Kluyveromyces lactis: one gene and its partners. The protein of the gene in region 1 interacts with the protein of each later gene in a pairwise test. Links are inferred from orthologs where the notes say so. Each region holds a gene or a part of one and is shown on either strand. Other genes may lie near its edges. The genes, in order: IQG1, BUD4 and MLC1.

Evidence for each region.
Region 2: the proteins of IQG1 (region 1) and BUD4 interact in binary tests that used the Saccharomyces cerevisiae proteins (3 or more experiments, as listed by UniProt). The link is inferred for Kluyveromyces lactis from reciprocal best matches to the Saccharomyces cerevisiae genes IQG1 and BUD4.
Region 3: the proteins of IQG1 (region 1) and MLC1 interact in binary tests that used the Saccharomyces cerevisiae proteins (3 or more experiments, as listed by UniProt). The link is inferred for Kluyveromyces lactis from reciprocal best matches to the Saccharomyces cerevisiae genes IQG1 and MLC1.

Annotation. Positions count from the first base shown.
Region 1 is NC_006040.1:1,099,613-1,110,658, reverse strand, and holds IQG1 (Iqg1p), read left to right. Parts: upstream 1-4,703; coding exon 4,704-9,188; downstream 9,189-11,046. Other genes in the region: asparaginase ASP1, read right to left, coding at 1-495; Hsp90 family chaperone HSP82, read left to right, coding at 931-3,072; GTPase-activating protein CIN2, read left to right, coding at 3,414-3,495, 3,589-4,358; KLLA0_D12892g (uncharacterized protein), read right to left, coding at 9,344-10,708. UniProt on the Saccharomyces cerevisiae protein: Required for the assembly and the contraction of the actomyosin ring at the bud neck during cytokinesis.
Region 2 is NC_006041.1:534,408-545,454, reverse strand, and holds BUD4 (Bud4p), read left to right. Parts: upstream 1-4,945; coding exon 4,946-8,599; downstream 8,600-11,047. Other genes in the region: JSN1 (Jsn1p), read right to left, coding at 179-3,463; cleavage polyadenylation factor subunit FIP1, read right to left, coding at 8,813-9,700; transcription factor IME1, read right to left, coding at 10,598-11,047. UniProt on the Saccharomyces cerevisiae protein: Required for establishment of the axial budding pattern in haploid cells.
Region 3 is NC_006042.1:960,755-969,851, forward strand, and holds MLC1 (Mlc1p), read right to left. Parts: upstream 2,358-9,097; coding exon 1,929-2,357; downstream 1-1,928. Other genes in the region: ERT1 (Ert1p), read left to right, coding at 250-1,773; KLLA0_F10461g (uncharacterized protein), read left to right, coding at 3,276-5,270; KLLA0_F10483g (uncharacterized protein), read left to right, coding at 5,663-5,947; DEAD-box RNA helicase PRP5, read right to left, coding at 5,982-8,420; ABD1 (mRNA (guanine-N7)-methyltransferase), read left to right, coding at 9,050-9,097. UniProt on the Saccharomyces cerevisiae protein: Essential light chain for the class II conventional myosin MYO1. Also acts as light chain for the class V unconventional myosin MYO2 and for IQG1.

The DNA of each region.
Region 1 (11,046 bases):
GAAGGTCGTTTCGGCCAACGTATCGGTACCATGAGTGATGACTATCCCATCGAACTTCTGCAAAGAATCACAGACGCCTGTATATATCTTGTACAACTCTGCCAGTCCGATTTCTTTCGAATCGAAATTACAAAGCTGTTCGTACTCTATTTCACATACGTCCGTAATGTCCGGGATAGCCTCTAACAATTCATGAATGGTCAAATCAACATGATACCCTGCAGTGTCAGAAGCCTTACCACCTTTAGATGCAATAGTCCCACCGGTACCCAAGATCTTGACTCTGGGTAAATGACGTTTGGAGACTAGTCGAGACGACGACGACGGAGTCGTCGTCGTCGCATTACTAGACCCCACTTCCTGGCCCACAGTTATCGGTTCATCGCTGCCAGAAAAAGTCTCCTCGCGATATACTGGCTCTACAGGCTGCAAAGTAAACTGCGATAACTCAACATCAGAGTTGATGGTCTTGATATCAATGTTCTTATTAGGCATGGTAAATTTAGTGCAGACACTCTGGCTTTGGCTCTGGTTTTGGCTCTACTTCTATCCTGGCCCTAGAAACGTAAAGAACCAAAAGGAACCTATTTCTATATCACATGCCTCATCTCATCTCGACCAAATGCCCAATGGCTTTATGGCTCTTCTTTCCATCATTTTCCACGGTGTTGATACTTCTCTTCCAGCGAATTGTCCAATGTTCTCATAGATTATTCTGGAAAAACAAGGCGTGAAAATATATAAAGGCGGCAAAAAACAGGTTTGGTACTTTGAAGGGGCAAATCTTGTTCCCACTTGTTTAAGAATTGGTTAATGCTTTTAGATCTACATCTAACATCAGCAATCGAGTCTAATCATATCGATAGTCTAGGGTCTTTTTCGTGTGGCTACAGCTGGATTTCAAATTATAACATAGTATAATTAGTACAAATGGTTAATCAAGAGACATATGAGTTTCAAGCTGAGATCACTCAGTTGATGAGTTTGATCATCAACACTGTTTATTCTAACAAGGAGATTTTCTTGAGAGAGTTGATTTCCAATGCTTCGGATGCTTTGGATAAGATTAGATACCAATCTTTGTCAGATCCAAAGGTTTTGGAGACTGAACCAGAATTATTTATTAGAATTACTCCTAGACCAGAAGAAAAGGTGTTGGAAATCAGAGATTCTGGTATTGGTATGACCAAGGCTGAATTGATTAACAATTTGGGTACCATTGCCAAGTCAGGTACCAAGGCTTTTATGGAAGCATTGTCAGCCGGTGCAGATGTTTCTATGATTGGTCAGTTCGGTGTTGGTTTCTACTCTTTATTCTTGGTCGCTGACAGAGTTCAAGTTATCTCCAAGCACAACGACGATGAACAATACATCTGGGAATCCAACGCTGGTGGTTCTTTCACCGTTACCTTGGACGAATCCAACGAGAGAATCGGTAGAGGTACTGTGTTGAGATTGTTCTTGAAAGAAGACCAATTGGAATACTTGGAAGAAAAGAGAATTAAGGATGTTGTTAAGAAGCACTCTGAATTCGTTGCTTACCCAATTCAATTACTCGTCACCAAGGAAGTCGAAAAGGACGTTCCGGTTGCTGAAGAAGAAGAAGAAGTAAAGGAAGAGAAGAAGGAAGGAGAAGAAGAAGAAGATGACAAGAAACCAAAGTTGGAAGAAATTGACGAAGACGAAGAAAAGAAGGATGATGAACAAAAGACTAAGAAGGTCAAGGAAACTGTCAAGGAATTGGAAGAATTGAACAAGACCAAGCCTTTGTGGACCAAGAACCCATCCGAGGTCACCCAAGAAGAATACAATGCCTTCTACAAGTCTATTTCCAACGACTGGGAAGACCCATTGGCCGTGAAACATTTCTCCGTTGAAGGTCAATTGGAATTCAAGGCTATCTTGTTCGTTCCAAAGAGAGCTGCATTCGACCTGTTCGAATCCAAGAAGAAGAAGACCAACATCAAGTTGTACGTCCGTCGTGTCTTCATTACCGATGAAGCTGAAGAATTGATCCCAGAATGGTTATCCTTCGTTAAGGGTGTTGTTGACTCTGAAGATTTGCCATTGAACTTATCCAGAGAAATGTTGCAACAAAACAAGATCATGAAGGTTATCAAGAAGAACATCGTCAAGAAGATGATCGAAACTTTCAACGAAATCGCGGAAGACTCTGAACAATTCGACAAGTTCTACACCGCCTTCTCGAAGAACATCAAGTTAGGTATCCACGAAGATACTCAAAACAGAGCTGCTTTGGCTAAGTTGTTGAGATACAACTCCACCAAGTCTGTTGACGAATTGACTTCTTTGTCCGATTACGTCACCAGAATGCCAGAACACCAAAAGAACATCTACTTCATCACCGGTGAATCTATTAAGGCCGTTGAAAAATCTCCATTCTTGGATGCCTTGAAGGCCAAGAACTTCGAAGTCTTGTTCCTTGTTGACCCAATCGATGAATACGCCTTCTCTCAATTGAAGGAATTCGAAGGTAAGCAATTGGTTGACATTACCAAGGATTTCGAATTGGAAGAAACTGAAGAAGAAAAGGAACAAAGAGAAAAGGAAGTTAAGGAATTCGAACCTTTGACCACCGCTTTGAAAGAAATCTTGGGTGACCAAGTCGAAAAGGTGGTTGTCTCCCACAAGTTGTTGGATGCTCCAGCCGCTATCAGAACCGGTCAATTCGGTTGGTCCGCTAACATGGAAAGAATCATGAAGGCTCAAGCCTTGAGAGACTCTAGTATGTCTTCCTACATGGCCTCCAAGAAAATCTTCGAAATCTCTCCAAAGTCTCCAATCATTAGAGAATTGAAGAACAAGGTCGAAGAAGGTGGTGCTCAAGACAAGACTGTCAAGGACTTGACTAACTTGTTGTTCGAAACTGCATTGTTGACTTCCGGTTTCTCCTTGGAAGAACCATCTTCCTTCGCATCCAGAATCAACAGATTGATCTCCTTGGGTTTGAACATCGATGAAGATGAAGAAGTTGAAGCTGCTCCAGAAGCCGCTCCAGAAGCTCCAGCTGAAGAAGCAAACGCTGAAACTGAAATGGAGGAAGTTGATTAAGCAAACTCTTCTTTTTATCACATATTCTCATGAAAGGAATTTCAATAATCATCTCCCCCCAATCCACTACCCAATTAATAAATAGTATCAATCATCAATCAAACACCCTCCACTGATTGTGACCTCTCTCGGAACTGGCTTCTTGATGGATCTATGAGAAGATAAATCTATATTATATATATTATACATCTATATTTACACTATACAAAGTGAGTTAGTTTTCATCTGTAAATTATATCAACATAAATTTAACCAATCACATTATTATTCAAATAACTGTTATTATTACATTACATTTCCTAAAACTGTGCATTCCCTGGTAACGCACACGGTCAACCGACATGACAATACTGCATTGCATCAAAGACGATGGCAGTATAGACGCCAATATCCTCTCCTCAGAGTTTAATACGATATGCCGAGGTATGTACCTTCCCAGCAACGCTACAAAATATTAAGGTATAACTGCGGTCTTACTAACCTCTCTTAAATCTTGTGATTTGAAATCCATTCCAGAACTTGAATATCAGGTTGATACGGGCAAGGACCTTGCGAAATGTAAGGATGATCTTTCCTCGGTCTCGAAACAGTTGACTTCAGTGGCTCATAACCTTTCGTCTTTCGATCAAGAGTTATATTCAACCAAGATCGATCACTTGTCGAAAAAAATTACCATTAAGCAATTAGAGACCAGTAACAAAGACGACCGTAGAGCAAAGTGGAAAGCTAGAGGCCGTCCATCTGCTAAGACTTCAGCAGCTGTAATGGACAGTTCCCTAGAAAATTCAAAGAAACTGGATGCTGTTACCTCTCCCCAGCTCAAAGATACTACGATATATTACGACATATCTGAAAACTCTTATCGAAACCTTACGAATTGCACGCTTAAATACACAGGTACTGAACCATTGCAAGAATTTGCAACTCTGTCAATCCAGGATGTCCATAAATCAATTGTGTACTTCAACATCTTGCCGTTTAATCAGGGAAGTCTTCTTCTTGAAAGATTCGGCCACTGTAAAATAGTGATAATAACACCAAAGAACAGCAATCTTCAACTTCGGTTACATGAAATGCACAATTGCCAACTTTACATAAGGGAACAACACCCTGGCCAGATCCAAGATATCATCATCGAAGACTTCTCAGATTGTGTTTTCCACGAGGATACTGAGAAATTCGTTCATATCCATAATTTCAATCGATTAAACTTACAAAACAAGGAAACTAACGGAGGGTATACATTCGGAAACTTCCCGTACGAAATAGGTTCCCTAATCCCATGAATAGTGATGCTACAAAGAACTGTATGTGACAATAATTTAACTTCTTGAAACGTATTTCTGTCTCAGTGGTTCTCGAGTGTTTTCATTTCGATCGTATTAGGCAAAAGGTAAATATCAACAAAACTTCGATATAACTGTAGATTATAGAAACTTGAAAACATTGAATTGTTTAGTTACCGGTAGTGAACACCACTTGGAAAGGGTCATTAATTCAATCTAGCAGTACCATAATACTTATAGCAAGTTATAATTTACTTTTAACTTGAGTGTGAGTGTTTTTTACTGTTATAACGGCTTTAATCGACAAAGAGTAGTAGCAGTGAGGCTAAAACTAATATAACAAATATGTCAGTCCTGACAGGTTCTCCTGGGAAGTCGGACTCGATCAATACTAGGATGCAGGAATATATGAAAAATATTAATAAGGATTCTCAGCCGGTTCTTAAGCAAATATCTTCTTCAAGAATAAATTCGAATTCTAACTTGAAAGGAATTCTGAGCAGCACCAAAAGTCCCAAAAACACATACAGTGGTTCACCAGGAAAAGAGAATTTCAACAATGTCACAGCAGAGCTATCTTTCATCTTGAAGAATTCGCCAACAAAACCGTCTTATTTCAGTGCTTCTGGTAACAATGTAAACGGTAACAATTCTTCACCATCCAAATTGTCATCTTCAAAGGATAACGATTACCAAGAGTTTTTGGTTAGAATTGAAGAAGCCAAACAATGGATTGAGGCTATTATTCACGAAGAATTGCCATCAGCGCTGGAATTGGCTACAACAAAGTGTATGAGTGATGGTGTATATTTGGCTAAACTTGTTGCAACTGTCAAACCTGAGCTTGTAAAAAAAATTATACCTACTGGTGATAGATTGATGTATGCTCACACACAAAACATCAATGCCTTTTTAGAACTTGTCAACTATATTGCAGTCCCTGACCTTTTCAAATTTGAATTAAACGATTTGTACGATAGAAAGAACATCCCCAAAGTATTCGAAACAATACATGCAACAGCTAGTCTCTTAAGTGCTCAATACGGGACCATCATTCCGCAAATGCAGAATCTGACTGGTCAAATAGACGTTTCTATTGATGATATCAAGCTCTGTCAAAGGAAAGTTCCTGGTGTACATGCCTTTAGATCATTCAACCAATTCGGTTCCAAACCATCATCTCCTAAAAAGTCTCCACAAAAGGGATTACTGGACTCAGCAGTTCTTCAAAGTCCTGTGAAATTAAAAACTGAGCCTGAAGTTTGCATACCAGAATCTCCTAAGACGCCTACCAGATATTCTTCTGCAATCGTGCACGACATACGTCAATTCAATCCTTCGCTTTCTGAGACGAAGCCACTATCTCTTTCATATCCAACGGAGTCTAGCCCACAGCGCTTGAAATATAGTCCTGATAGGACATTCTCTTACTATTCGCCTGGTGTGTCAAGGAGATTATCCTATAGAACAGAAGACATCGGGTACTTCAACAGGAAAAGGCATCAATGGAATTATGATTTTGATTATTACGATACTTATAGGTATGGCAGCACCCAGTATTCGCCAAAACGACGTGAAAGAATGACCGAAACAGAGTTTTTGGATACTGTCACTCATTTGCAAGCATTACTTAGAGGTCTTAATACACGTTACGATGTCCATTTGAAGATAATTACGCTGAAGCATAGCAATACCAGATTTGCAGAACTGCAGGCGCTTTGTAAGGGGGCAGTCATCAGAGGACAACATCAGAACTTCGTTCAGAACCATAAGCCAAATGAAGCTTTGGTGACATTACAAGCTCGCCTTAGAGGGTCAATACAAAGGGATGTATTCGATCACTTCAGATTAAGATTAATCAAAAGGGAAAACTACATCTTGTATTTGAAAACACAATTGAAAGGTTCTGCACAGAGAAAATTGACTCAGGAAAAGCTTCGGTATAAGAGCATATATGGGGACACATTCTCTGTCCTTCAGGCAGTTATTAGAGCCAAATTACAAAGAGGAAACTTTATGTCCTACCATAATATATCGAACATAGTCTCTAGCGAAGCATCCGCGCTACAGGCTTTATCTCGTGGAAGAATCGTAAGGCTTAGGATGATGGAAGCATCAAGTGGTGATCTACAGATAAAATTACAGGCTTTACTGAGGGGTGCTTTTCAAAGAAGTAAGCTGCAAAGGGTAAAAGAAGTAATGTCATGCGATCAATTCCAAAACTTTGGGCCTATCTTGAAAGGTTATATTGTTGCAAGGAGATACACTGACGCCCCAAGTAAAGTTGCTAATGAAATTGTCAGCTTTAATGCAGTGGTAAAGGGGATGCTGACAAGGTTTGCCATGGAACTCATTATAGATATTGCCGAACAAAACAACATTGATAGTTTACAATCCAAAGTATTAGGCTATTTAATCAGAAAACGAGTAAGCCAGAAGAAGAGCTTCTACAAAATGCGTGAATCTGAGATCATCATTATACAAAAAAATATCAGAAGATATCAACTACAAAACGCATACAAAGTTTTAATGTCAACGGGCAGTCCGAAGTTAAGTACGGTTAGAAAATTCGTTCACATTCTTAATCAATCAGATAACGAACTATTCTCTGCTAACCTCCAAAAGCTCAAGGCTAATATTAATGATGTTAATGATGAAGTAGGAGAACTGCAAGAATCGTTGAGAAAGAAGGTTTTGATGAAAGATTCACTTGAAAAGAGAAGAATTGATGTGTGTAAGTTCCTCACGCCAGCTGGACGTCAACAATTAGAGATCCAATTTAACGCCATTAGCAGCGATAATATTTCAGCAAATCTTAAGTCTTTGTACGGTAAAGCAGGTTTTTTGCTACAAGTTGACTCATTTTACTGGCATCTTCTTGCCAAAGGAGATCCGAGATTTTGTGTAACTAATTTACCAAAGTTGTTTGCTCCAATCCGTGGTGCTATTGGTGACAGAGAAAACTCATTACTTATTAAGGTCATTGGAGACTTACTAGTTGAGGAGATTGATGAATCTTCAACTTTGAATGACTTTTTAGTGAACGATGATGCTGTCTGGATTCAGGTTCTTCAGAACTATTTGACCTCTTTCAGAAGCAAAGAAATACTAACCGCTTTTGCACAGCTGTACAAATATCTTGATTCTAACGCAATTGATTTTGAGAGCGATCCATCTAAGATATATGCTAAATTGCATCCTACTGCTCCACCTCAATTGGCACATGAAGCTATTGAGGACTCAAGTACCAGCAAAAGATTCATCAAAAACATGACTTCTCTATGGGGAGCTGTGGAACTAGTTTGTGCAGTATTAGATCATATTGTATCATCAACAAGAAACGATTTAAAATACCTCGCATCCAGGGCATACAGAAGCTCTGCTAATAAGGACACCGAAGAAAGTTCTGCATTATCAGCAATTTCCAAGATTGTAGTAGATAATTTCATTTTCGTTGCCTTGATGAAACGATCTGATTTCTCCTCCAGTACTGTCGGACTCAATTACGATGAAAAGGCCCGGGTTTTAACAGAAACATTAAAGGTTATATTTGCATTAAAAACTTTTGATGGTTACTTCTCTCCATTGAACCAATATCTAGTTCAATCTCACAATCAATTCTCTGACATCTTGACGGAATTACTGATGGAGCCTGAAGAGAGTAAAGAATATGAAACAATGGTCTACAAAGATATGGCAAATAATTCAAAACCATCACTTATGATTTATCATCAAAGTTTCATCAAGATTCTAGAAAAATTGGAAGGAACTCTGGAAGAATTACCACATGATGATCCTATGGTGAAGATTCTTTCGAAAATTCAGATTGAATTCGACAAAACGTCCGTCAACGGACAATCGCAACTCACCATAAGCCTGGATCCTTCCGCATACAAAGTTACTCTAAACAATTCCAGATCTGACTTGATGTATACCGAGGCAAAGCAGGGCTTGTGTTATTTGATGCAGGTTGAGGAAGTCAATTCCAATTTAACGGATCTTCTCGTTAGCGAAGTACTACCAGAGGACGAAATTGCCTTCCAACAGCTCATCGCACAGAATCCAAGCATTGCTAATACTTTATCTGAAAAGCACGGTGATATTATTAACTATGCTGAGTTCAAAAAGTTTTTGATGTATAGAATCAAAGAGCTTACTGTTCTTGGAATAATTGATAAGAGTAACGACTATCAGTTCTTATTGGTCGACATCGCTAATACTATCAAAACTAGATCATGTATTAAAGGATTGAATCGCTCTGAAATGGAGCTAATGACTTCTGTTTATGATTCGCTGAATGACAAGCTTCGTAACACGAAACTACTTCTTGATGCGATGGACACTGCTATCACAAAATCCATAAAAGAAATACAATCCTTGCATGATTACACGCCAGCCAAGAAAAGTGGGTTTGGTCACAAGCTGAAGGATGTTTATCAAAAGAACCATAAGAAGAGCCATGAGGCAGAAGCCGGTATGAACTATAAATGGAGCAACAAACAGCTTTTCGAGCTAGGCGTTTTGTCGAAAGTAACTGGAAATGGTGCTAAGAATTCATCAGTCAGCTTTTTCGGTTCCAGTGGATCAAAGTCTCAATATGTTGATCTCAAATTCTCTACTAGAGATGGTGAAGTGTTTGGAATTGAGTTGATTGACAATAAGAACAAGTTTGATTCTAATTTACAATCTGTTGTGAAGTTTAGTGAATTGATTGAAAAAGAAGCAGCTGACCGCCATTCCACGATTTCTATTCTTGGAAGAAAGGAGAAGATGGTTCTTAACGTTGGCAAATTACTAGATTTGCTTGTTGACAGTTTTTTCAGGTTTTGAATAATATTCAATGTTAGAACTTTTGTAATTATCTATTTCTGAGAACATTATAATTAGTTTATTGTGCCAAAGCTTAATCATCAAGACAATTAAAATTACTTCATTATTATTAACTTTCGTTACATCATATTACTTAAAAATACACAATTCAACTATCACTCAACAGCAGTTTCAGGAGTTGGTGAAACTTCTACAATTCTTTGGATCTCTTTTAATTCCTTCAGTCTGAGGTAAGTCATCCCTGCTTTTGCAAATTCGTATCCGACGTACAAGGCAAAACTGCAAATTAAGCTGTGTGCCATCTCACAATCATCTGGTGACGCGTAAGGATACCTGTTCAATAGCATTGAGTTTATCCTGGGGAATGCAATAAAAAGCTTTCGGCCCAAATATTTACACAAAAATGGCCAAGCTAGTGCAGCAAGGAGGGCATCGTACCACTGCGGTTTTATTATAACATCTGAATATTCAAGACCTTCTTGGAATAGATTGAAAACAGTGGGTTTGGTGACACTCTTTTGAGCCACCTGCGTTGATAGGAAATATGGATTATATTTTTGTATCCAATTGCCGTAAATCTGATTTAATGCTGGTCTAATCAAGAGATTATAAACTCCGATTAGCATACCGTGAAGCTTTATGGAATCACCCAGGAGTTTATGAGTTCCGCAGTTCTTGAGGAAGAAATATGGGAACACTATTCGCAACAATAGAGGTATTGTACCATTAGCTTTAAAAGTGAAAAGGTATAGAGGGAATCCGATAATTTGAAGCTGTTTTTCGGTCGAGATTGAAAGCATGCCCTTTAAAGTTTCTGCATACACATCTAACGCTTTAGTATTGGATATATTTAGAATCTTTCTTAGCAGTTCTTCTGAAAACAGAGTGCGTAGTTGCCAAAGCCCAACTTTGAATAGACACTTCACCGGATTGAAGACATAACTGTGTAAAGTAAGTACAGTAGCAGAATATCTTGTTACTTTTCGACAAAAGGAAAACAATCTCAAGGGCCAAGCCGGTGATCTGTACTGTAACGCTGATGTATTTTTTAACATCTTTTGTTTACATTGTGGGCATGGTGGTATGTCTTCTGGAAGTCCTCTCCATAGTTCGTCATACGAGAAAGAAGTATCTGGAGCATTTAGATGGGCTAGGGCCCTGATCAAAAGATCACCAACACAAATAAAACTGGCCCATGTTTGACCCACTAACGGTATCTCCTGCACAGTTTCAGCAAACCCAATTACTCTCCCCATGTCCCTATGGCTATCAATGAGGTAGCATAGTCTTCGAGATATTTCCTGTGATGAATTAATCTTGTATGTATCATAAGTATAGTAACTCCCTAGCTTCGACTTATTTAGATCGAATATCCATCCTATTAGACATTTTCTGTGTACCTGTAAGTTACAACCGCATTGGTGTACGATCCAGTCGTCGTTCTCACACTCCGTATCTAAACACACCCAACAAACGTACTGCTTGTGAAATAGATCATCAATACAACTTCGGAGTGTCATCCTAAAACTGCCTAGGATAAGAGTAAATGTTGTCCTTAATTAAACACCACTGATAAAGCTCTAATATACGATTTATTGCCTGGCTCTATTGCCTGAGTAACCTGTATTTCTTCCATCTTTTTAGGGTGAATGTTATATAGATAAAGTTTCAATTTCTGAAGTCTTTCCTCATGAAAAGTTCATTATAAGCACGATTAAATGAAGGAAGATACCATGAATAAAACTCACTTTTGGTTACCTCCTCCTCCATCAGCGTTACTGTTGTTGCTCCAGTTCTGAACCGATGTCATGAACTAGGCTCCCTTCGGTAATTATCTCCAAGCTATCTTATCTTGATG
Region 2 (11,047 bases), on another chromosome or scaffold:
TGCAATAATTGTGTAAGTTTTTGATCATGAAACAGAAGGTGAGAAATAGATGAGAGGGAAGCGAGGGGAGGTTCTTATTATACAGGGATGTTCCCCACAGGATACTTTAGCGTCTTACGTGCCACATTTTCTTTTTTTTTTTAATATTATTAGTATGTAACAATAGCTCGTGAACAAATCAGTGGTTGAACATTCCATCACCAAACTGTCCATTATGATGTCTATTCTGAGAATGGGGGAGTGGTTGACCATTCATTGTTAGTTGCGGCAAGGATATTTGCGTGCCATTATTGAATGTCAGCATATCAAAATTTGACACTAAATCATCATTCAGACCACTGGTTGACGTGGAATACTGATACGGTTGTGAAGCGGGAAACATGCCAGGGTAGGTGTAGTAGCTTGCTTGCCCAGAGATGCCAGAAATGGACGCTTGCTGAGGTTGATGCTGAGGTTGAGATTGGGATTGTTGAGGTAACTGAGCTTGGACCTGAGAAGATTGGATGGGTTGCTGTTGAGATTGTGCGTTCGAGGAGGCTCTTGGTCTAGAAGATGCCGACCTGACACTGTTGACGGAAACAGTCCTCATATGTTGAGGATGGTCATTACCAAAAACATGGGAAATACTCATTCTTGGCTTGGTTTGAGCGGTAGATGGTTGATTGTTTATTGCATTCAAGCCCACTTCTTCCAAGAGTCTGCGATGCTGTGTGATATTAGATTCTGTGGTCAAAATGTAGCGAACTTGTTCGATAACATGGTGTCTAACGTCTCCTTCCAACATAGGAATAGACAAAACTTTATAAACAAAAGATGGTCCATAATTCGTGTCACTCAACAACTGATATAAGAGCTGAGGTGGTTTAGAAGATATTTCGTTATCCATAGGGCCGAAGATAGTATCTAATATAGCCCTTTTGGCAACTTCATCACCACGATAGTTCAAGATTTTCAAAATTGTTAATGAGGCAAGCTTATGACACCCTAATTCGAAAATATTTGGTAATAATGCCTCAGCAAGTATTGAGTGTCTTTTTGGCAAAGTACAAGTGTCTAAGAACCACGTAACCAAAAGGGCCCCATTGCTATTGGTGGCTAAATATTTCACAAAAAACACAATCATAGCACTAAGTAATAAGAGTTGTTCTTGAGTAATTATGTCATGGGCTTCCAAACAAGCTCTGACTGCACGAGCTCCATATCTATTTTGCACGATATTCCAGAAGTTGGAAACAATATTCTCGAAGATAAAGTTGTTCCAAGGGAAACCAAACTTCAACACACATTGAATAACGTAGTTACCAAATTGATCGTTGAACAATGGGGTACAATACTTATAGACTCCGTTTGCCACATACATTTTTTGTCTTGGGGTATCTGCGTTTGTAATCATCTTTTGACATGCCCAAGTACCATTCTTGTGTACACCCATCGATGTCAAATATACGCTTGTCTTTCTTAACATAATATCTTTAATGACGGAAGAGGCATGTTCAAATAGTTTCTGTACTATAGTATTACCTAAATAGTCCGAACTCAGTTCTGGTATTTCATCCAACATAGCTAGAACTAGCTGTTCAATTTCCAAATCTGACATTTGTCCAGAATCAATACTTTTTCGTAATTCACGAAGCCTTGGGGCATCGAACTCCCTTGTAGATAAGGGCTCAGGTAATGGACCGAAATCAGTAGTATCACTTGTTCCATTGTATTCAATTGCGTTTGCAATGATATGCTGGTACTGAGATGTATCATAATTGATACCAAACTTATTAATAGTATCGTTCAACAAAGTGATATTCTCCTTGAAAGATGGTGGTGGTAGTGGGAATGGACATTGTTCCTTCTCAGAATTACTTGAGGATGGATTGGTAGGTGACACAAATGCTTGAGAGCTCGATTGTGCGTGCGTATTGCCAGTAAAAGAAGGAACGGATACGTTACCTTGCTGTTGGAATTGGACTGCGCCTGAGAATAACTGTTCTTGTAGCAGGGACTGAGGGTTGATGGCAGTAGATTGATGGTTATTTTGCTGTTGAGTTTGCTGAGTCTGAGGTAGTTGTTGATGCATAGGTAAGACTTTTGCAAAGGAAACAGTACTTGGAGCACCGACTAGAGATACTTCTTTACCATTCAAAGCCTCTTTTGCCTTGATGGCAGCTTCCACAGAGGCAAATTCAACAATTGCCATATTAACGCCCCTCAAGGTCCGTGCTGAAATGACAGTTCCAAATTTCAAGCACAACGTTGCCAAACTTGTACTCGTCAAATTGACAGTATTGGACAAATGAGGCTGCTGCTGTTGCAATGAAAAGACATTAGAGATGGATATGGTATTAGTTGGTAATAAGTTTGAAATGTGGTTGATCGATGGTACTGATGGATCAGTTGTCACCCAATTGATCGATCTGGAATCCATGTCATCTTGAACAATTGGGTTGGTAGAAGCAGCAGTGGCTTTTAGTTGTGGATCCATAGAAGGTGGTATAATGAAAGTAGAAGCCCTAGATCTAGTATCCATCTGGTCGTAGGTTGGAGCGTCGGTATAGATACTGGACGCATTTGATTGAGACCTAGGTCTCGAATTCCAAACCCCTCCAATTTGTTGAGATTGGAACTGATGGGCACCAGCTGTTGTTGCTCCAGGTACACCCAAGTTATTAATGTTATTAGAACTTGTGTTCAGATCGAAATAGTTACCAGTTGCCTCATAAGGACTATACGTACCTGGTGCTAAATGGCTGTTGTTATTATTATTATTATTATTGACATTAGTTGGATTAGTAGTTGTTTGAATGCCAGGAGGAGACATTGGATTCACACTCATATCGTTAGGGAACCAAACATTGCCGACATTTGGGACCAACCCGTTGACGTTAGAAGGGCCAGTAATTTGAGATGAAACGGTATTGTTCCTAGTTCTGGAAATGGTATTTGATGCAGTTGGTTGAAGCGGGACGCTGTTTGTGGCAAAAGTGAACGAATCACCGGAAAGCCTTGGTTGTGATGGGACCAAAAGACTTGAACTATCCGGAAGATGAATAGCTTGATTGTAATCTACGTCAAGTGGCGGGGTGATATGTCCAGGCACTGACAAATTAATCTGAGCTATAGAACCCGACTTCGAAGTCTGTTCACTGGTATTTGCAGTCGCATCATCCGAGCTTAACTCACCAGAATGGTTACCTTCTCCCACGGCACTACTACCCTTTGAACCCTTCTTATTATGATGCAATTTCGCACTGATACTAGGTAAAAGATTCGATAGCGTGTTGGAGAATTTCCCTGCCTTGGATCTATAAGAACCTAGCTTCTGTGGCTGGATTGGTAGCTGGTCTATATTATTGCCACCACTTAAGGTGAAATCATCTTCGTATATGGGAATTGTCACTCCTGGATCGATAACTTCCGGAATGTTGGACAATCCTGACATAGAATCGCCGGAAGCTTTCCTCTTCTCCATAACGTGAATTGGATATTTGCGAGAAGCCGGGAAAAAAACCTATTTGCTATTTTTGACCTGTTCCTTGGAAAGTTAGCTTTAGCTCTGATTGATAAGTTTTATATCTCGGTTTTCTAAACACACTAGAGTCGGGTCAATGAAAGTAAGAGCCAATTATTAGATAAAAGTATATCTTTGTCTTCTGAATCGACTACACTAGAATCTCACAGTGAATATACCCTTTTGACTAACTCGGTGAGTGACTGGTTTGGGTTTTTTTAGCAAAACAACTCAATTCTTCTCTAAAGTTTAAATTGGTTCAAATCAAATCAAATCAGCTCTCAATATTTAAAAATGCCTTCTTTATATTTCAATATAGTATGACAATGATGAAATATTAACAAAGTTAGAAAAAACACTAGAACAAATATACTACCATAGCCAGGTAGAATAAAAGGAAGATGAATGAAAAGGGGATCGGATTTTGAAATTTTCTCGATTATTGGAAAACGCCGAACAGAATAAAATAAAGGAAATAGAAGAACGCCGAATGACAGCAAGGCAGTAAGCTAGAAAATCCTGTCAGTTAGGATATTGCTAATGTACTGGCCACAGTACACTGTTTTTTTTATATATAGTACATATGTTTGAAAACCCAGGAACTTTTCAGTATTAACGACGCAGCACAAATTTAGCGCGCATTATGCCCCTATTATGGTGATCTTCAGCTCTTCTCGTATATAGAGAAAAAATGATGATTTACCAGGACAATAAATGATCCAATTCGAATCACACTCTGAGTATTTAGAATTAGAGCCAGTGAAAATAATACGCAAGTATGCCTCTGCGAAGAAGCTTGGTGATTGAAGCTCAAGGTTTATATTTCCTTGGTACTTGTCTTTGCACGCCCTTTCTTTGATTATCTCTGCCAGCGAATGGAAAAGTAATTAATTGTCAGGAACTATGATTATCCGGGTAAGAGCTCGGCACGTGAGTTTCCTCGGATATGAGGCGGAGGTCGGTGGCTGGAGAAAAGAATAAAATATTAATAGAATGAATTTACTTACCCGGAATTACTGCTAGTTGAAAATTTGAAATCACGTGAATACTTATGTAATTATGATCTCGTTTTCCTTTGCCAATTCTGTGTTTTTTTTGGTTTTTCCTCTAATTTGATGTTTACGTATTTCCTAATTCAGATATTGTCAACAAACACTAGGTGATTGACAGGGAAATTTAACATACCCCATCAACAATGGTTTCCATTGTTTACTTGTTTGCCCATTGAATATGTTCATCAACTATAATATATTGTTGTATTTTGTAGGGTTTACATCTTTCATTTCTTTGTTTATACTAGATCTCATTTTTTTTTTGAAGGGAATTGTTTTAACGATTAAATCAGTGATCTTAACTCTCATCACATCTTTGAAGTGGTAATATTCCATTTTATTCGTCGTCAATTTAAGTCCCTTAGTCGAATATACCTGAGCATCTTGGGCAATGCAAATGGAAGACAAAGGCGAGGCACTTAATCCTGATGCAATGTATTCTCTTTTGAAGGAGATTGACCAAGAGATTTCTCACACCGACAATATCAGCATTGATCAACTCCCAGAAGAGGATACCTTGGACAATGAAAAGAAAATTGACGCCAGTGAGAATGTCATTGAAAATACAGAGGAGGAGGCTCTCCAGTTGGGTGACGAGAGTGCAAATACAACTACCGAAATTAAAGAAACATCTTGCACAGAGGACCACGATACTGTCGAAAACACAGAAGATGTCATAAGTATGGCAGAAGGACTCGATAAAGCACCTCTAGAGACTGCTTGGATCAAACACAACTATCAGCAGACTAAACCTGTGGTTTCAAAAAGATTAATCTCAAATGATGGATCAGACACTTCTGTTGAAGATATTAATGCAAGTACCAGAATTCCTTCTTATACTTCCGAAGAAATAACTGGCCTAGAGTTGAAGGATAAGATGGTCACCGATGTAGGTGAAAGATTATCTCATTTCCTAGATCAGAAATATGCTGAGAATCCAAATTTGCCTGCATTGAAAGGAATGCTCTCAATGGCCGATGAAAAAGCCATGGAAGATGACCCAAAAAAGGATAAACCATTGGTGTTCACAATTGAGCCAACTAAACCACTTTTTCCTTCGAAGGAAGTATCTTCAACCATGATTCAAGTCGAAATTCACACTCCTGATGAAGATGATGTTGATGGTGCGGCAGCAGACACCAAAGAAGCAACCAATCTCCTGCTTGATTCTAAGATCCCAGTCACTCCTAACGTCTGCATCAACAGATTCGTAAATAATAACGGGGAAACAAGGGTTTCATCTGGCTCATCGACAGAAGATGCACAAGAACTTAATACGCACAGATTTCAGGACCGGTATCATCTTCTCAGCGGTGCCCAAGCAGTTCCACAACTCCCTCAGTTGCCTGCTTTAACATTGCAGGATTATAAGTCATCAAGTGTTCAAAGCGTTAACGCTTCAAGAATATTTAGTGTTGCAACTACAAATGACAACTACCAGTCGGCAAAAGAATATGATTTGTCCTCAACTGTTGGATGTGAAGAACTCTCTGATGACGCATCAGTAAAGGACTTAGAGATCCCGGAACCGAATGAGTTGCCTTGCTTTCCGACTTTTCAACTGGACTCTACTTCCATGAAGACATCCAGTTCTATGGAAACGGTACAGCATGATAAAGCAAAGTTCAACTCAGACGTCAATATCGCGGATGATACTATGGAACAAATAGAACAAGAGGAGGCAGAATTGATTTCTAACCCGGAGAGAAGTGGAAGTCCTACAAATGATAATATGTCTCAACATAGCCAGAATAGACAGTTGCTGGGCGTATCAGAGGTGTCACAGGCACAACAGGCACCAGAGCACCATGTAGAAATGTCAGTTGAGTTTCAAGACGAAGGAAGAAGGGATATAACCAGTAGCTTCTCGAGAGAAAGTGATCGAATCGAGCTACCACCTTTGCCTCCTATGAATGGACTTTCGACAATGTTTGACCAGGATTTATTCAATGACCATGAGACCTCGCACGAGTCAATTGATTTAACTTCGTCGTCCCACAAGGAGAATTATCTGTCAATTTGGCACTCACAGAAAACAGGGGGCAGTTTTATATCTCCAGCATTGAGCACCAATTCTCAATTTAGTACTCAATCACGTACATCATCAGTGCCGACAAATCATAGCGGAAGTTCATTTAAATTCAAATCGAGAATCATTTCGAATTCTCATGTATTCAAGCAAGAAGCATTTAGACAATTCAGTGATGAGTATGTCCTCAGCACACAAGATGATAGTAAGTTGGATCCGCTAAGAAGAAATACTATCATGTCCAAGCGTATCCAGCAAGAACTCAAGACACAAGCTAAAATGTATCCATTTGCTAATAAATTTGCTTTGGATGAAAGTTCGGAACCAAGTATACACAACGAATCAATTATTACTGGGGACATTTCGAGAACAAGTGACAAGGCGGTTGACACTACAAACATTTTATCCCATAAGAATTTGACACTTTTGCCGCCGCAATCAACTGAAACTGTATTTTCGTCCTTTTTAGACAATTTTGATAAAGACGACTTTGAAGAGAAGTTGGCAGAAGAATCTCGATTGAACTCAAAGAAGAATCTTCAAACTACTTGGGGTCATTTCCGAGACGTCAGTTCTGGTAATGTAGATATTAAGGCAACTCAGCAACAGATTGCTGAAGTTCTTCACAATCAAAACGAAGATGTCGTTCAAGTGGGGTCGCATATTCAAGATGTTAAGGTGTTACTCGGGAATGAAATTGAGGGATACGATGTTCAAAAATCAGTATCGGATCTGTCAGTAGAGACCACAAAAAAATCGCCAATTAAGCACGTAGGATCACCCTTCAAAGTGAAAGCTCGATCTGAAACACCACCTCAATCGCCCGTAGTCTACGAAAGGGATACTACAGAAGTAAATGAAGGACTGCAGCGAGCTCCGACGACATCATTAGCTTCTGTTTATCTAGAAAACTCCCTTCAAGAATTTGAATCCTCGGAGCTTCAAGATCATGGCAAACTATACTTGAAACTAAAGAGTATCAATTCGCTTCGTTTACAACAAATTAAACGCCATAATGCAAAGTATTGCATAGAGTTTGATAATGGAAAAGAGGTTATTGAAACACCGTGGGAATCCATTCCGGAAGATGGTCCTATTAAAATGAGTCAGGAATTTGAAGTAAACATGGAATCAAATAACGTCACTTTATTCATGACTATGAAAATTCGATACACAAGCCCTCAAAATCAACTAACTGAGGTTGTAGAGAAGATTCCTATCAAGAAACGATTTGCGTTCGGCAAAACAAAGTATAGGCTTGAGAAAAGGTTTGTTACTAAGAAATTGAAATATGACGATTGGGACTTCAAATTCGCAAAGGATGGTTCATTTGCACGCTGCCAGGTAAATGTCAATAAAAATATGCTGAAACAAATCAAATACAAAACAAATGAGCTACACTTTGAATTCCTCAATGAATGGGAGCGCGAATTTGATGAGAAAATCGCACAAACATATAAAGAAGACGAATTATGGAAACTTCCTCGGAAAAATCCATCTAAGGTTTGCTCTCTTACAGTTGATGTGATGTATCTTCCAAGAACTTCGTCCATGGAAAGATTCCCAAAGAATCTGAAGGCAGTTCAGAAGTGTTGCGAGAAGTATCTTGAACAGCAAAGGGTCAATAATGAAGGATTCCTGTGGCAAGAAGGCGGTGATGTAGAGGGAATGTTGAAAAGAAGATATATGATTTTGAAAGGCACTGAACTTATAGCTCATGACGAAGTTACCAGAAAACCACAAACTTTGTTGAATCTTCTAAACGTAGTAGATATATACTCTGATGGTAAAACGGCAACTGGAAAACAAATGAGAAACTTTACTGATATGGTACTTTTCAGCGATTGCTTCAAACTCCTTTTTGCAAATGATGAAGTTATAAATTTTAACGCTGATTCTAATCTTTTAAAACAACAATGGGTTGAAATTTTGACCAGCGTTGTTGAACTGAATAAATTCCATCAACCATGGATCAAAAGAGTTTTTGAAAACGAACAATACAACATTACTTTTTAAACTGTTATAGTATTCAGATATATAGTTTGTCTTTGCCATTTTTTTTGAAGTATAGTATATTAATGTCATTTCTCTAATTATAACAAATGTCAACATGAGGTCTTTAAAACTAAGCTGTGTTACAATTCCATCAAGGAATCGAAAATACATGTACATGTCCGCTATATATCATTAATGTTGCTTGCAATCAATACGAGCCTCAAGCACTAAATTTCATTTCTTGTCGTTGAGATTATTATTGTTGTTGTTGTTAATGTTGTTCATGTTGTTCATGTTGTTCATGTTGTTCATGTTGTTCATGCTTGATACATTTTGATTTTGCATGTTATTCATCATACCCGGAAATGGAAATCCTGGGAAACCACCAAACATGGGGGGAAGTCCCATAGGCGGAGGAGGAGGTTGGATTGTATTCTGTACAGGTTGTCCTGAACCTGGATCATTTAACTTTCCTTGCTGCTGTAAAGCTAGGAGGTTCATCAAAATCTTTTGTGGGTTGTATTCTTTCGTCAAATGTTCTTGTCTATGTAAATATTCCATCCAAGTCTGTTCATTAAATCCATAATTGAAATAATCTGAAATATTCGCTCCTGGTTGTCTCCAGGGCTTCTCCTTTAGAATTTCTGGATCGATCTGTACTATAGGTTTCCCATCGAATTGTGCATCCGGGTTCAAATCAATAGTTTGTTGTTGCTGCTGCTGCTGTTCAGGTGGTATTGAACCCTCCTGTACAGGAACCACGTCCGATATACCAGCCACTGCTGCAATAGCATGATCCGCTGTACCAAGAGGCGTTGTGTCTGTTATAGCAGATATCTGGGACTTACCAGAATCTATCTTAGAGGTATCGTTACCAGTTCCGATGATAATCTCAACATCTGAATCTGAGTCACTGCTGTCATCCTCATCTGATGAACTATCCTGATTGGAGGCCTCACTCTCTACCTCATTCGTATTACCTTCCGGTACATCATGAGCTAGTATCTTGGGTGTTTCTTCGACCTTTTGTCTTTTCAATGCAGGACCCTCTTGCTTTGCGACTACGTTAGAATCCTCCTCATCGCTGTATAGAAACTTATCGTCTTCATCCTCACTGCTCATAACGATTCGTTTCTATATGTCGTTCGTGGACTGGTAGAAGATTTATCAATAAATGCTTGGAAAGTTTGGAAGGCTGCGCAACCCAAAAGGTATCTTAACAGGAAGATAGTTCTTCTTCTCATATAGAAATCAACTAATAGTTAACTCTCAATGCTAAGATTTACCAAAATGATGCTGTTAAATCGACGCATATCCGGGTAAATTATTGTCGTATTCAATGACAAACATTTCTAATGAATATCTGTCACCGGACAGCGGACAGCGACTCAGCTTGTTTGGACGGAATGTATAATATGGGTTAAATGTGTAGCTAATGAGAATACATGATTTACAGAAGAATTAGATGTGCATGTTGCGGACAGTATCGATTTCCGATGTTAACGAACTTGAAAGAATATGCGATGGTAAGAATTAAAGATATGGAAAAGTAACAAGGGAAACCAAAGAAAAAAGTGCATCTTATTGACGAAGCATAATACTTTGTCCTGTTTTTTCAGAGTAAAAGTGTGAATTAATTAAAAAAATTGACAGAAAACAACAGAGGAAACAAACATTACAGGCGAGTGAGTGTCTTTAATGTGTTGAAAAGAGTCAGACATTGTTGAGAATGAATGTTCAAAAAAGTCGATTGTAAACTGCAATTGAGAAGTGAATGTTCTTTTTTGAAGTGTTTATGGGACCTGTAAGGTTGACTAAACATGGTCACCTTGTGTCCGCACCCACAGAAACAAAGTAAAAAAAAAAATGGAAGGTAATTTGAAATGAAGTAGAGAATTAGAAAGGAATGAATGTAAGAAATATGATGAAGAAGGAAAAAAATATGCAGGTGTATCATACAGGCAGTCTATAGCAAAGGGGGAAAAATAATATCTGGATAAAAGGATGAGGATTGTTCCATCAAAAATACGTCTTGGAGAACTTGTAATCAATTTCTTGGAATCTAATCTTATCGAAATAATCCAAATCGTTAGAATCAGCCAAGAAATACCCAAAATAAGGTAGTAACTTGTTAGTTAGCGTGTAAACAAACTGATCCTTTTCCGAAACGACCGAATCTTTCTTTGAAGATGAAGAGGAGAACATGATGGGTGCCACCAATGCACGTTGCTGTTTTTTCTTCACTGGAGCCATGCACTGCAAGTCATTGTCCAAATCTTGCTCGTCTTCTTCCAGTAACACGTTGATACTTCTTGTAGAAGAGAAAACAGAACTGTGTCTTGTGTCAGCCAGTGAAGGTGGTGTAGAAGAAGAACAAATAATTCTCTGTTCATCTTCTTCTTCAAAACTCGTCTGTAAAAATTTCAAATTGTGAACGTGAATCAAATGGACAGGCTGAGTATGGATCAT
Region 3 (9,097 bases), on another chromosome or scaffold:
GTGCATGGATGAGCTTGGAATAATGGAACTTTATATATATATACTAAAGAAGAGAGGATGAGAACAAAGTTACCAACCTATGTAGCATTTTTTTTATATAAACAAGTGCTGATATAACATCTGTAAGATACTGAAACAGTTACGGTGTTTTTATATCTTGTTTTTGCCGTTGTGTGAGGCCTATAGAAATCTGAGTTCCTTGGATAGCTCCGACTGGCGAATTTTTTGATATTGGAGACAATTGTCCGGATGTCTGTCAAGAGGAATAAGAAAGTCAGTGTGGCCTGTGTACACTGTGCCAAATCCCACGTTACTTGTGATGACAACCGTCCATGTACTAGGTGTATACGGAAGGGATTGGAGGAATCTTGCATAGATGCACCAAGGAAAAAAGTCAAGTACCTGCGCGATGTGCCAGAAGATCAACTTCCTTCTGTCTTAAGGTCTACTAAACAGGTACCGCCTGTAAATGCTGTTAAGCTGAAAATGGAACCTGGCATTCTGCCGAACATACCATTAGATTATGATGGTGGTACAATCCGACAGTCTGCTCCTGCCAATAACGGTAAGAATAATCCGGAGACGCAACAAACTCTGAGCAACGGTCAGATCACTCACAGGCCCAAATTTTTGTCTAGTGCAGCAGATTTGGAATACTCTATTCTATCTGATATCATTCATGGGGACTCTTTGTTTAATAAGATTCCTGTCAATTTTCTGTATTCTAATCCTACAGAGAAGACACCAAGCCCGATTAACCAAGGATCTCTGAACGGTCAGCAAGATCTGCATTTTTCATTACAGCTGCGATCCAAACCTATGAATCAGATAAGGGGAAATACAAGAGCAATATATTCTAATCTTTTAGGACCTGTTTCGCATGAGATTTTACAGTCGGAATTTAATCTCTATACCAATCATTTCCCGTTACAACCTCAAGAAAGTTTAGATGGCACGCTCGATTTCAAGCGGATGACTATTGGGACTTTGTCCCCACATCTGACGAAATTTGACAAAACTATAAACCAGTACTACTTGAATTTTGCTAATACTTTTCCAGAGATATACGATTCAAGAAAGATACCTAATCTTTCATACGCACTCGAAGTGGAACCACCAGAATACAGAGAGATACCGCACGATACCGAGATCCCGCATACTTTGAGGTTCACTACACCATCAGAAATATATTCGTTGGTTCAAACAGCGTTTCCAAGTACTACTGGTTTCCATGCATTGCTTCGATATCTCAAAAGAAGATTTGACAAAAATCAATTGGTGGAAATGTGTCGCTGCTTAGCTGAGTTACGACCAATTTTCATTGCCAGTACTATCGACCTCACCGATGAAGATATGATATTTATGGAAAAGAGCCATCAGAGAACTTTATTAGAGTATGAGAAATTCATCTCTCAGGTTGGTACCCCAACTTGTGTATGGAGACGTAACGGACAGATCAGTTATGTGAATGACGAGTTTTCTCTATTGACTGGCTGGAATCGTCTAGAACTACTCAACAAAATGACCTTCATAGTCGAATTGATGGATGGTGATACGGTAATGGAGTACTTCCAAACGTTCACTAGGGTTGCATATCAGGGGTTCAGAGGTGCTGAAACTATGCGAATTTGTAATCTATTAACCCCGATCAAGGGAAGCGTTATTAAATGTTGTTGTCTATGGACGCTAAAAAGAGACGCCTTTGGTTTACCTATGATGATAATAGGGAACTTCATGCCAATTCTCACCCTACCAGAAGACGTTGGGTTTTGAATCTAGAACTGTCACAAGTCAATAGTATCGGACTGCTTAGAATAGAACAAAAGAGCAAAGCTCCTGGCGTGTGAGATTGGGTATTTATATTTATATATATATTTGTATTATACTAACTAATGCATGTAATCTTGAGTTGCATTACATCCTCTCTCTTATTGTCTCAATACATCTTCAACAAATTTCTTGTAGTCGATCAATCCGTCAGAGTCGATTTCGATCCCCTTCATCAATTCATCAACTTCCTCGTCAGTTAACCTTTCCCCTAGACCGGTCAATAGGTAACGAATATCACCTGGTGATACCTTGCCAGTATTATCCTTGTCAAAAACTTGAAAGGCTTTGATGAAATCCTCTACTTTACCTTGAGTAGTTTGCTCCAACTTCTCTTCGTTATCCTTAACTAATTTTTCTAGATCACCTAAGGTCAACTCGTCACCTGAAGAAGCGACAACTTCCTCCACTAGCGCATTGGTAGGATTGTATCCAATTGCTCTCAAATAATCACCAACTTGGGCCTTACTGATGGATCCCTTGGCTTGCTTGTCAAATAGCGTAAAAATATCTTTGTTGATTCTGGACATGATGATTGATTTCCCACTTCTTCAATGAATAATACAGTACTGCGTAATTAAATCACGATTCAGTATCACTTAGCCTAGCAAGAAGTAGATACTATTTAAAGCTCCAAGGTAAATATAAATCTATTCGAATGTGTAGAACAATGCATGCCTTCCTCCAGTAAATATATCAAATGTAAAGATACTCTTATTGTTTACGTTTTTCAAAATGGAAAACAAATTATTGTTTCTGGGGCCTCAAAAGCTCTTTTTTTGGACGACCTAAAACTCAGTCAGATATCATTTACCCGGATTTTAAATACCCATCACGTGAGTCAAATATATTGTTACCCGCACAATTCAACATCGCATTTCGAAAATTTCCAACCTTCCCTCGTTCAGTTTCTTTTCCTCAGCATCCAATGTTCCTGACATCTGATGACACTTTTTCTTTTGTCTTCTTGTCGAGCGATGAAAAGTGTTCAAGCTTCTTTTTTGATATGACCTATATAACAAAAGCGATTATTAACATACTCAATAACAGTTTTTTATCGTTCAGTGTCGTATCACTTTTGTTAACTAAGACATAATTTTCATTGTTGTGTTTTCTTTTGTTATAGCTCAGTACTATATCACAGATCAGTATACCGTTTAAACTCTGAACATTATATTGTGTTCCTTCGTTCATCAGTAAAAAAAAAGGTATGTGTGACTACTATGTCCGATTACAATAGGTTCGGGTTTCCCTCAGAGGCGATGGATATATATATATTCCCTAAACTCTAACACTATTCAAGATTTTAGACTTTTACCTATAAAAAAAGTCTTTGGTTCATATTACTAACAAATTCTTTTGATTATTATACACAGAGCTAATCAACTGTTCGTTATTAGTGTTTTTTCCGGTTAAAAAGAACATCTTCTTTGCCATTGTCTAAAACCATGTTTAGACTTGTCCAACAACAGACCCTAAAGAGTAGGGTCCCAAATCAGTTCGTTTCTGCGTCCAGAAATTCTTTAAATTCCCAGTTCCGTTTCAACAGCGCTGTCGCACTAGAGCGTAATCCTCAACAGGATCCAACAACTGCAGCACCAGCCAAGTCGTCTTCGGATAAGAGAAACTCTAAGAAGAAGTATGAAAATAATGAAATCATTGAACGTAACGTTAAAAAGGTCCGCAACCTAAGAAGAAACATAAAATTCGATAATTTCAAAAACTCTCCTAATTCTCCAGCTTTCTCTAAACTTAATGCCTTGGATGACTGTTTGGCCAGAGGTTTGGAAGCATCTTCCTCTCGTGCCCCCGATGGTAAATTCCTAGATCAATCTTCATTGTTTTGGGATTCGGTCAGTAGTAGTATGAATATCTACAGGGAGTTAGTCATCACCGGAGACTTAAACAACCATCGTGCAAGTAGGGTTATTCAACTCATGCATGTTGCTTTGAAGGTCAATAGAACCCAGTTGACTAGCATGAACAAGAAGCCAGATTATGATTCGCAATCTTTCCACAAGGAAATGACCAATTATTTGTGTGAATCGCTTAGGGAAATCTCTGGTGATATTTTAGCTAACCGTGTCTCAGTCAGTGAACACGGTGCCGCTCATTTGTTATCCTCTTTCAAAGAATTACTGCTTTACGAAGAAACTTTGAACATCTGGAAAGCAGCTGTGAATTCTGAGAACAAGGATATTGTCAAATCTTTCATGTTTCCAAACGTCGTCGGTGTCGTTTTACCATTACTATATGAAAACGGTACCACTTTCGAAGAAATTAAGAAATTGTATGAAAAGTCCGCTAGTAATACAACTAGATCTCATGGAAGCCCTAGTTTAGTTTTGGGTATGATTAAGACCTCGCTTGCTGCCAACGAAAACGAGCATGCTTTGTCCCTTTTCCAAGAGATGTGTACATCGGAAGGATTTGGTGTTTCACCATATGCGGTTTTGACGGGAACTCATTTGGCCTTCATTGGTGAATGTAAGGATTTGTATGTGGCTAAGAGTTTCTTCGAAAGGGCTTTGAGTAAAGACATGCCCTACAAGATCAACTTGCAGGTTTCTTCAGTGAAACAGTTAATCCAAAATATTTGGGATCAAACCCATGATTTCAACGAAGTCGTTGATGTTTGGACCAAGGCTACCAAATATTATGGTAAAGATGTTTCCCATGGTATCTCATCATCATTGAACTCTAAGTTCATTTCAATTTTCTTCGAAAACTATGTTACCGACAAAGCAGCTGGTTTACAGCACCTTCAAGAGTTGGTAACAGCGTATGACGAAATGAAAGCTATCGATGAACCCTTCTTGAACATCATTTTAACTAAATGTACCGTTTGGCAAGATAGAAATATTATCGAATCTATCGAAAAGTCATACGAGCTATACCACATTCCAAAGACCATCGTCACCTACCGTATTATCTTGAAGGCTATGGGAAGTATCAGTGTTCCAAATGATGTCATCCGTGAGAAATGGGTTCAATTAATCCAAAAAGCTGATCAAATTGGCCAGACGTATATCGCCAATGCTGATTGGGCAGCTCTAAGAGATGCTACTGTAACGTACACCCAAGAACAGTTTAAAAACGGCGGCAGCTATGAAATGACTACATCTGATTCTTATAATCCAGCTTTGGAAGCCGCTAATGCCAGTGGGGCATTTGATGATTTCAATGAACCTACCTCCGGTACAAAACATGCTGATCACTTGAATACTCAAACCAATAAAGAAGATAATGACAGAATTCTACTTTACTACCAATTGGTAAAACGTTACGGTGTCTATTGTAGAGATCCTAAGCAATATGCTCGTATTACCAGTGGTATTGCATTGAATTTCGAAGTCGCACAGCCATATCTTGGTTTGGTTAATACAATGGATGTCTCATCGATATACGTTCCGCCATTGAGGAATTTCCACTTGAATCACTGATAGATATTCAATAATAATTTCAAACATTCATTTTATCAATTTAACTACATTGACTAACGATCTTTGTATGTTGTCTGTAAATATATATAATATAGATATACCCTTTTCCACTTATGATTAATCTAATGAAAGCTTATTTAAACACATATTCGTCTTTAGTTGACAACTCAATCGGGAAGCTATATATAAGTTATTGTATATTTTGCAATACTTGGTTCTACATAAAAGTTCTCTTAAAATATCTAAGAGTTAGATCGTGTGCATCTCTTTTAAGGTAAAAGCTGAACAAAAATCAATTTAAGTTGAATCATATCTACAATTATTACAAACATAGATATAAAACGTACAGGATAGAACGAAAAAAGAGAAGCCATTGCTAAGTCATACTGCCGATGGGTCTATGTGGTAGTAAGCCTAGTAAAGGTGTGCCGTTGGCCGCTGATAGTTCAGCACCAAAATCAAATAACAAAACTACATCAAAAAAGAGCACGGGAAGACCGATTGATGTCACGCAAAGTCACCATACCTTATCTCCAAGAGAAGCTGCAAGAGTGGCCGCTGAACAGCGAAATGCTAAACTTGAAGCTGCCAACGCCAAAAGTGAATTGAGTCAGAAACTAGCCCATGAGCGTGCCAAATCCAGGAAAACGCATGTGATGGAAATTGCGCAGAAATGAAACATGTTGGTGAATGATTGAAATTGAAACTAAATTACATACGATATTTACCTGATTGGATATCCTTCACTGCTGCTTTTCGTATTCCCTCTTTAACCTTTGTATTGAGGAGTTCTAATGCCATTGTTACGTCACTTTCTTCTGCACCTTCCACAATCAAATACAATTTAGGATCATCAGTGTCATTCTTTGGCCCTTTTCCTTCAGGGTAGAAGCTACCTTTACTCTCAAAATTACATCCTGTCTCCTGTTTGATGTTCGAGACTGTCTCTGTTTTCGTTGCTTCCCACCTCGCAAGTTGCGGAAGGTCGTTAATATTTATATGTGCAAAATATGTTGTGGAATGTCCTTCTTCCCTTTTACCTCTTGTGTATTCCATTTTGGTTGCTCCGCTTTCTTCCTCTGTCACATCTTCTTCATTTTCAACGACACCATAGTCAGTATATTCTTGAGACTGTTTTGCTTCGTTTAGCTCGTCTAAGTGATCAAGACCTTTTCCACCAAAACCCTGGATCAATCTGTATTTTCCAGTCTTTAGTCCACTCGAAAATTCGTCGTTCATTTCCTTCAATTTTTGATAGACAACCATCGGCACAGAGCTCAACTCGTTCTCTTTCATGCACTTCACCAAAATATAGGCAGATGCAAGTTCATCAACCATAACGAAGGAGAGCGCAACGCCGTTATTAGTCCCACGACCAGTTCTTCCTACGGTATGAACGTATTGTGCGATGGTCTTTGCCGCATTGTATATAATGACAAGAGAAACCTCTGGCACGTTTAGACCTCTTGAGAGTACCTCAGTACATATCAAAATTCCGTTGTCAGTTTCTTTGAATTTTTGCAAGTTGCGAAGACGTTCTGCAGAAGGTTTGCCAGCATGGATAGGAAAAGTGGTGATGCCATTAAGTAAAAGCTCGTCATATAAAAGGTCACAAAGCTGCTGGCTTCCAACGAAAATAATTGTCTTTTCATCTTCACCACGATGCAAGGCTAACCGATCCGAAAGCCTTTTAAGTAGGAACTCAAATTTAACATGTTCCTCATCAAAAATTTGGACTCTCTGCTGAATGTTCTCATTAATAAGTGATTTAGAGTTTATAGTAATTTGAATAGGATTCTTTAAGGTTCGCGATGCAAAATGTTTGAGCTTACTTGGAAATGTAGCACTAAAGAGAACACACTGCTTGTCTGGACGGATGCAGCCCATAATTTGGTTGACTTGGGGTCCAAATCCAAGGTCGAAAAGTCTATCTGCCTCATCCATAACAACAAACGAAATTCTTGTAGGAGATAACAAATGGCCTGAATTTAATGTCATAAGATCAATGAATCTCCCTGGAGTTGCGACAATGATATCAACACCTCTTTTCAATTCATTGATTTGTTGCTTTAACTCCGAGCCTCCCACGCAACAGATGCTTGAAATGCCAGACCCTTTACAAAATTTAAGTGCCTCTTCTTGTATCTGAACGGCCAATTCTCTGGTCGGTGTCAATATAAGACCAATAGGACCAGTCTCATCAGGAGCTAAAGGTGGCTGAGCCTTGATCTGTCTAACAAGTGGTAGGAGAAAAGCGACCGTTTTCCCTGACCCAGTTTTTGAGATACCAATAACATCTCTGCCTGACATAATAGCCGGTATTGCCTGGCATTGAATTGGTGTGAGGGTTACAAACTGTAGTTCGTTGGAGATAAGATCCATGATTTCAGAGGACAAACCAAGCTGTGACCATTTCGTTACAGGTTTGGGACAATCTTTCCCTGAGATTTTAATGTTATCTAATGATAATCGAAGTTCCTCCACATCTTTCTCTGACATCAATCCCAAATCGTTCGGTTCACGATAAAGACATTTATTTAATGTTATTAAGTTTAAAACTTTAGAGTAATCAATGGCTTTTATTTTCTTTCTACCCTTCTTTTTGAATAATATCTCTGAATCAACCGGAGCTTCCTCTTGAGATATCGTTTTCTCTGAGCTACTGTCGTTAGCATCTTCATCCTCTGAAATATTATCAATAAGTCTTACTCGGTTAGTATTCGAATCTTTATCGATAAGCTTGTGGATATATTCATCCAATGCATCATTCCCATCATCCAAATCATCCTTGCTGTTGTCTTTTGTCAGAACATGAGTATTTGTATCGTTTCTACGCGGCTTGAATAACGTTGATGTGGAATTTTCATCATCAGATTCACTATCACTTCCCCCAAAAGCAGGACGTTTTCTCGAACACTGTCCCCTTCGTTTGTTCCTGTCCCTATCCGCAGACTTTATACTGGTAAGTTTTATATCCTTTTGCTTGAGTTCATCTTGTTGTTTCTTCTTCTTCTTCCATGCCTCTAGTTTCTTCAGTCTCTCTTCCTTAGCATCTACAGAAACAGATGCTGTAACATCATTATTCAGTTTCTGTTTTTTCCACTTAGCAAGTTTCTCTTGCCTAATCCGTAGCTTTTCCGTTTGATCCATAACGCTCACCTTCGTAATTTAATTGGGTCTTTTTTCTTCTTTCTGTGTGCTATCTTTCAAGTATTAATCCTGAATGGTTTTAAGGTTTTGTTAATTCAATATTATAGGTATTTTGATATTGAAGGAAATCCTTTCCAAATGGGTATTTTAAACTACTAAATGAAGATGGGAAACACGCTACCTAGTTCATTGCATTCAGTTCATATGACAATTGTCTATATTCTTTGTTATAGTGTCTAAAGTTGACTGATCTTCTAAAGCATCTATTCATTATTTCTTCATTTAGTCTTAAATAACAACTTCCAAAGTGACATCTGAAGTCAAAATGTACAAGGATTAAAAAATGCTATATGAGAGCAGTTGAAAGGACTCTTCATGAAACATTCGAATATGGAAATGAAGCTGAAGCATCCTATACGTTAAACAGCATACTTCTTTTGTAAATGCCTGATCCCATCATTCCCTAAGCGATTTAGCCTTTTTTAGTTTAGCTTTCCCGTTAATATTTCTATATAGTCGATCTTTAGAATGTCATAAAAGTAGTTTCATTCCAAGAAGGTAACACTGACTTGGAGTTCAATAAGGCTTTCGAAACAGGCCGCGACATATCAATTGCGCAAGCTGTCAGCATGGTGTTACTACCTGAGAAGCCAGTATGGATGTCCCAGCAACAATAT